2 linked regions of the Elephas maximus indicus genome follow. The protein of the gene in region 2 purifies or fractionates together with the protein of the main gene of each other region. This does not show direct contact. Links are inferred from orthologs where the notes say so. Each region holds a gene or a part of one and is shown on either strand. Other genes may lie near its edges.

Region 1 (3,915 bases), on a different chromosome or scaffold from region 2:
TCAATGGCAATGGGCTTGGTTTTCGGAGTTTAAACTCAATAGGGCCCAAACTGACCTCAATATCTCTCCCTGTTAATCCTAATCACAAAATCACTCCAAAAACCTGTCTCTTCCCTCCATCCGCAATGATGTTATCTTAGTTCAGGCCAAAGTCACTCTAGTTTGGATGCCTGCACTAGCCTTCTAACCCCTGGTTTTCACTCTTCTAGACTCTTATTCTACCATTTCCCTATGCCATATGCTGCAACTATACTGATAATACGTGTATGACCTCCCCAACTCCAAACCAAGCTCTTCCCTTTGCTGGAATGCCCTCCCTCAATGTCATTGGTGGGAGAAACTCCTGTCAGTCTTCCAAGATCTTACTACTGATGGGAAACTTTCACTATGTGAGTCCTTCTTCTAGGCCATGGCTGTACCTTGAGTATACTAGTCTACCCACCTCTCAACTCTCCAACACATATTATATAGTTTTCTACATGAGTTTTGTATTAATATTTTTGAAGAAACACAATCATGTTACATCCCTACCTTTACTTAGAGAATAAAAAACAAACAAAACAAATAAAAAACAAAACACCATCCTTGGACCAAACAACAACCAATACCTGTCTCCAAGTTCTCTTTCCAACTTCACTTCCCATTAGTTCTCTTCAGAGACCACTCCTACTAGCTAACTGCATCACAGGCTGTTCAATATAAATATGCCTCTGAGTTTGAACTGACTCAAAGACAACAGGTTTGGTCTTTACTTCTACCCTTCTTGCTTGTGCTGTCCCCCACCTGGAATGCCTTCCATCCACATCCCTTGGTCCAAATAACACCTACCCTTCTAGGTCTAGCCTAAATGTCACCTCCTCAAAAACCTCCATTTTCCCAGTGTGAAGTACTCTCCCCTTTTTATTTGCTTGCACGGTACCACTGTATGAAACATCTGTTACTCAGTATTTCTTTTTCCTCATTAGATTGTAATATTTGAATTCTCTTAGTTCTTGACATCTCATAATGTTATACATCGTAAGTATGACAAATATTAGAAGTGAATTTAGGGCCTGCAAATGAAACACACAACAGACCTCATAAGGAATAAGTTGTAGAAACAGTACACTGGAGAAGAAACTGGATTAGTGGGTATTAGCCTAAAGCGGCAGAATTTTGGCAAACTCTCAGAGCCTCAGTTTCCTTCTCTGATTCATGAGTATCAACAAAGCCCTTTTTAACTTTAAAGACCAAGGATTTGAATTTTCCTTATTAAAATTTCGAAAGGAATTTATGAAAGCTCCTTCAGTCATGTGTGTATTCAACATTTGCCATACACCCATATGCAAAATACTGTGGGGGATACAAACTTTCCTAAGATACTATTCCCACTCTTCTAAGACAGGGCTGTACTTAGTGCCATTATATTCTTACATTATTTGAAAAACTTATTACAATGTGTCACTTGTAGATTATGATAACGTAAGAGTAATGACGATGGTAGCTGACATACACTGACCTATTAAGTGCCACGCACCGTTTTACAAGTTTTACGTGTATTAAGGCATTTAATCCTTCAAACAACTCTATGAGATGTGTTACTATCCCCATTTTACAGAGAGACAACTGAGACAGATTAAGAAACTTGTCAAAGTCACACAGCGTAAGAACTGGGTTTCAAACTCAGGCAATACTTGGGTTTAACTTTTTATCCTGCACAGAGTCTACCATCAGTTTTCACACAAAGCTGCAAAAAGGTTGACTAAGTGCCTTATGTTGGGGGGGGGGTTAAGTATAGGAAAAGCGGAATCTTTAAAAGGTTCAATAATTCCAAGACACGATTCTATACCAAACAGTAAAGATACTCCTGGTGGTACCGAAAGCGCAGCGGACCACATTTCAGACACCACAACGCCAAGCCAATGAACACGTGGACCCGCCCCTGTACACCTCAATCTACCAGAAGACAAACTGTCCAGGGACGGGGAATCGAACCCAAGCCTGTGGTGCCAGAGGACTACTCTCAGAGTGCACCAGCTCCCTCGCGCGTGCTCTGGGGTCTCCGCTCACGCGCCCCTTCCCCAGAGCCCCGATCCGTAGGCAGGCGACATGAGACGCAACTCTGACAGTTCTCTCCCCACTGCCTCCCCTCCCCGCCCCCCCGGGATTTACGCCCCACAGCCGGGCCGACAAGGTCCCATACTTAGAATCCGCAGAGAAAACCGCTCTCCTAAAGTTCAACTCGCTGCCGCCACAGCGAACCACGCGGAGACTCGCCTCCTCCACCATCTTCGCGCAGACGCAGTTTTCCCGATCACTGGCCCCGAACTTCCTATACTGAGCAACAAAACTCTTACAGGGCTTCTCTAGCCAGAGCCTCTATGGTAGGAGCCGGCGCCCGTGCCGCCATCTTTTGTTTGGGCAACGTCAAAATAGGACGCCTGTGAAAAAAGAAAGCGTAAAACGCACAGGGTATATAATATACGGCTACGCTATAGTAGAGATACATCTCACTCCGGCCTTGTCAATCGAACTCTACAGATTGTTCCGCTACAAGGGAAAGGTGGCGCATAGTGAATCACGTGACCTCTCCTCCCACCGTAAGCCTCGCCTTTCTTGAACTACGATTCGGTCGCTTGGAGATGATGCTATAGTCTTGTGCCGACTGGTTCTTGGCTGCGAGTTTGGCTTTCTTGAGTGGGGAAAGTAGTTTTCTACTTCTTGCACAGCTCTGTGTTCCTCTCGGTAACTGCTACTTTGTTCTCGTCCTCTGAGCACCACATACGTTCCTACAGGATCTCTACAGCTCCGAGTGCCTTGCTTTTGCCTTTCTAAAACCTCCGACTGTAAAGTCTAGTGCATCGCATCCTTTTCCTTCCCCGTCAGTGTAGCTACTGGGGCAAATCTGATATTCGGCCTCACTGGCCAGGTTCTCCGTTTAGTGCTCCCTAGTTTGCTATGGGCTGTTTCATACGTGTTGCCTTGGTTTTACCCTCCTCCATCCTGATCTGATATTCTGCCTCACTGGCCAGGTTCTCCGTTTAGTGCTCCCTAGTTTGCTATGGGCTGTTTCATACGTGTTGCCTTGGTTTTACCCTCCTCCATCCTCCTCCCGTACCTGTGGGTTAGGTACCCCTGTACTCTCAGAGGATGTTTTTTATGCCTGTATCTCCAGTTCCTTGCCCCCCCACTTTTAGAATTATTGTAGTGAAAATATATATAACGAATCATTTGCCAGCTCAGCAATTTCTGCATGTATAATTCAGTAACATTGATTACATTCTTCAAGTCGTGCAACCATTCTAGCTGCACATTTCCAAATCATTCCACCACCATTAACATAACCTCAATGCCCCCAAAGCAAAAACTCTCCCTCCTTCCCCTTCTTTCCACACCTGGTAACCACAAATAATCCTTAGTTTCTATGTATTTGGTTATTTCATATAAATCAGATCATACAATTTGTCCTTTTGTGACTTTTCACCCAACATGTTTTCAAGGTTCATTCATGTTATGGCATGTATCAGGACTTCTTTTTATGGCTGAGTAGTATTCCATTGCATTTATATACCACATTTGGTTTATCCATTCATTTTTTGATGGACATTTTGTGTGTTTCTACCTTTTGGCTATTGTGAAAAATGCTGCAATGAACATTGGTGTACAGGTTTCTGCCTGTACTCTTCATTGTTTTGACTCTAGTTTTGTGTTACAGTATCTCCTCTTTGAAATACTAGGGAGAATATGTTGCAGCAGTATGGGACTTTTACTTGTCTATTTTTTCAAAAAGAAAACAACTTCAAGGTAAGAATTCCTTTTTGTTAGCTTTATTTCATTTATTTAAGGGTATGTTATAATTTTGTTCTATATTTGTGATCCAAAACTGTTTCTAGTTATCTGTTACAAGTGATGGTGACATCATGGGGTATAGAGGTG
Region 2 (3,915 bases):
CACCACCATCACTTTCACATTCAATGATTCGTTCAGTAAATATCCACTGAAGCACCTACTAAACTAGACACGGACCTCAACAAACACGTCTAGTGGGGAAGACAAGTTGCAAGAAATAACAATCAACCCAAAAGTTCTCACAACTCTATTCCCTTATTCTTCTCCAATTATCATCTCCTGACCATCTCCACTGCCCTTGCCTCAATTCTCCCCTGACTACTAAACAGTCTCTCCTCACTGGACTCCCAGTCTCTATCCTCCTTCCTCTTCCATCTCTTCTTCACCCTACAGCTAGAGAGTCCTTTCTAAAATACAGTTCTGGTTATTTCACTTCCTAGAGCTCCCTATAGCCTGCATGACAACTCAAGCTCTTTAACGTGTTACAAAAGGCCCTAAACATTTATCTGGTCTCTACTACAGCCTCATTTCTCCTACGCTCTTTAAAGTGTCCTGTCTTTTCTGGCCATTGCTGGGTCATTGGACACGTTGCTCACTCTGCTTTAATAGCTTTCTCTGATTAACTCCTATCAGTTTTTTGGGGGTCAGCTCAGTAAGTCACCTCTTTCCAGGTTTCCTAAACCTGCCTATCTGAGTGAGGCACCTCTCCACCGAGGTTCTGTGCCTGTGTTTAGCTTTATCACAGCATGTATCACACTATTTGAAAACTATCTATGTACTTATCTTTCCCCCAGCTGGACTCTGAGCTCCTTGAAGGTAGGGCCTCTGACATTTGCCTTACAATACCTAGTATCTCTCACTTATTCATTTGGAGATTTACAGAGGGCCAGGTATCAGGCTGTTGGGATCATATTAGGTATTCAGCAAATGTGAACTGAATTAAAAGCTGCACCTGAAGAAAAACAGCAATCGGTGCCTTTGAAAAAAAATGCCGCTGTAACATTCCTTTGGATATATCTAAAGAGTGTTTTACCTAATTTAAAATACCCTTTACTCCCTGATATCTGCATATAAGTCTGCATTCTCTTGGACAGGTGAACATAGGAATCTATCTTCCTGCTATTACATCACCAATTTGATACTAAAATGGTGATCATTTTTTCTAAATTGACAATGAAACTAGCACTGACAGTTCCAGCAGGAAGTGCTTCCTTACCAAAGCTGCCAGGGTGCTGAGATTGATATAAAGCAATGGTGTGGAAAATTTCCCTTCCTGCTGTGCCAAAAAGATCCAGAAAACCTCAGTTTTCAAATGACAACAATCCCTAGGTAGGACCATTCTAATCGACATTACACAGACCAAAACTCTGAGCTCCATCATCAGTCAGACAAAAGATCTCATATTTGCCATATCAGTTATATAGTTCTAAACAACTCCAGGAGGAGAGAGTTACATTCTTTTGATTTCTTTGAATATAAAAGACATAAAAGTTTTGTGGACTTGAACTTAAGAAAAACACATCAGAAACACCAGATCAGGCTCTAGAATGACTTACTTTCTCCTGAAAGTAGTTTGCTGACAAGTTATAAATTTCCACAGTGCCATCTGTTCGTGAAACAGCCAATCTGTTTGACTGGTTATTGTAAGCCACACAGCGGATCCCTGATGGGACATAATTAAAGAAACGTACTCGATGGACCCTAAATTCACCCATTCCTAGGAGGGGGGAAAAAAGAGAGTCATTATTGTTAAACTTTAACTGCAGCACGTCACATGTAATCAGTTCACTATCAGTGTTCTGGATTAAAAAACTCATTGCTGTGGAGTTGATTCCAACTCATACATGGGAGGATTCAATTATATCTCACTGATGTCCATTTCTGAATATCTAATTCATAATGCTCTCTTGCCCACATAAGAACCTATCAAACGATCTCCAAGAACTCAGGATGATTTGAATAAGGATACTTCGGTAAAGAATCAAAAGATGAAAACATAGAACATCGCCCAGACTCTTAACAATCCCATCCCATGAGCTGCCTCAAGGAAATGGTCCAGGAAAGAGGAGTGAGAATCTCGAATTTGATCTGAGAACAAAAGGACTGAACATAACCTCCTTCTCTGCCTAATTGGGAGCCCGCACCTGAATAAGGGAGAAACACAGAGCTGACCAGTTGTGTGAGGGGCAAAAGCTAAGGTTCTCCCTTCTACTTTGTGTGTGAAGTAGACACCGCCACCAGAATCAAGAAAGAATGACAGAGAATGGAGGACAGCTTCCTATTAACACTTCTGGCCTAAACCACACAAAGACAGAGAAGGCAAGAAACGCTGACAACCTAAATCAGTCTCTGAAAGTGAGGCTTGTAGAACTCCTGCATCAAAATCACCTCGGGGAATGGTTTAAAAATGCAGGATTTGGGGTCCTACCCTAACCCAGTCCAAACCCAGTGTCTTACTGCTCCGGAATTCCAATCTTGCGGGGAGAGAGGCGGGAGAACAGGAAATGTATATTTTAGCAAGCACCTCTTCCCAACTCTACAGCAGGCTAAAGTTTGCAAATCACAGACCCAAACTAAGCTAGTGACGGTGGGGCTGACGGGTGAGGGCAGAATCGCGAGTTCCTCACGGGGAGGGAGCGAAAGGACTCAGTGACTTACTCTAGATGCACTGTTTGGCTTCTGTCACTATTTCTTCCCCTCCACAGACCCCGCACCCCCACCCCGGCTGCCAACAAACATACAGCGCCAAAGGTAAGGGTCGAATCTGGTACGCCACTTGCTGGCCTTAGTTCAAGGCTCTGAACTCGGGGGCACAGCAGGCATGCTCGGTCCGGCCCCGGTACGAGGGCGTCTGAAGCGGTTGCAAGTCTTCGCCGCCCCTTCCTTCTCTGGGGGTCTGTGGAATAGCCCCCATCCCGTCTCGGCACGAAGGACTCAGAGAGCTCCGCTGGGCGCGGAAATTGTACGAATCCCACCCCCTCAGACTCGCCCCTCTCACACGCTTCTCAAACCCCTTCCCCAACTCACCCCCTGTCCCGCGCTCACCACTCTCCGCCCCGGTCCCACGTGCGCGCGCGCTCTCGTGCTCTGCCCCGGAAGTGTTCGCGACACGAGGCCGGAAGTGCGCAGGCAGTGCTCGCGGCGGCGGCGACGGCGGCGGGAGGTTCGGTTGTCGCCCGTTGGCCGCGCGGCGCCGCGCTCGGCGGCCGCCATTGCAGGTCAGGCCGCGGGCGGGGGGCGCGGGAGGCCGCGGGAAGCGAGGAACAAGCTGGGGATGGGGGCGAGGGCGCGAAGGAGCGGGTAGCTAGGGAGCTGGAGCCGGATGGGGCGCGCAGCTCGGGTAGAAGAATGGCGAGCAGAGGGGCGGGGAGCGGAGGGGCGGTGGGGAGGGGGGAGGGGCGAGGAGAGGGCCGCGCAGAGGTGGGGGCGAACCCAGAGGGGCCCCGGTGGGAGGGCTGGGAATTGTGGGGGAAGGGAGGGGTGTGGAGACGGAAGGCGGAGGGAAGGAAGGGAGCGAGTGGGGCGGAGCGGAGCGACAGAAGGGCGGAAAGGGTGGCCGAGCGCGGGCGGAGGACGGAGAAGGGGGCGGCGCGGGCCGGATCCTCGAGGTATGTGCGGGCAGGGGCTCTTCCCCGGGTGGATGGGAGCCCGACACGCGAGGCTTACGGGAGTGGGGAGGACTAGGAACCCAGGAAGTTGCGAGGATGGCAGAAAGATTTCGTGGGGGGGGGGGCGGGGGGAGGCCAGGACTGTTAGGTTTTTTTGATGGGACATTTTAAATCATGGGGTGGGAGGTTGCTGGGAAAGTTAATTTGGAGAGCCGTTGGAAGGAAGAGACAGTCTGGAGAGTGATTCCAGGCTTTTTGGGGGGTGGAATAGAATATGTGAGAATGGGGGGGGTGCTGGAGGAGGAAAGTAACTTTAGCATGGAAGGGCGAACAGGGAACAGTTTGTAGAATGAGGGTGGCAAAGTAAGAACGTTTAAAGAGTAATTTTTGGGAGGATGTGAGCGGTTTG

Evidence for each region.
Region 1: the proteins of UTP4 (region 2) and WDR75 purify together in Homo sapiens (co-immunoprecipitation; 3 studies listed by BioGRID and IntAct, counting the BioPlex papers as one, with this or other methods). This does not show direct contact. The link is inferred for Elephas maximus indicus from reciprocal best matches to the Homo sapiens genes UTP4 and WDR75.

The regions. Positions count from the first base shown.
Region 1 is NC_064824.1:87,568,823-87,572,737, reverse strand, and holds the start of WDR75 (WD repeat-containing protein 75), read right to left. Parts: upstream 2,401-3,915; 5' UTR 2,269-2,400; coding exon 2,183-2,268; intron 1-2,182. UniProt on the Homo sapiens protein: Ribosome biogenesis factor. Part of the small subunit (SSU) processome, first precursor of the small eukaryotic ribosomal subunit.
Region 2 is NC_064839.1:35,379,734-35,383,648, reverse strand, and holds the start of UTP4 (U3 small nucleolar RNA-associated protein 4 homolog), read right to left. Parts: upstream 2,609-3,915; 5' UTR 1,716-2,608; coding exon 1,455-1,715; intron 1-1,454. UniProt on the Homo sapiens protein: Ribosome biogenesis factor. Involved in nucleolar processing of pre-18S ribosomal RNA. Part of the small subunit (SSU) processome, first precursor of the small eukaryotic ribosomal subunit.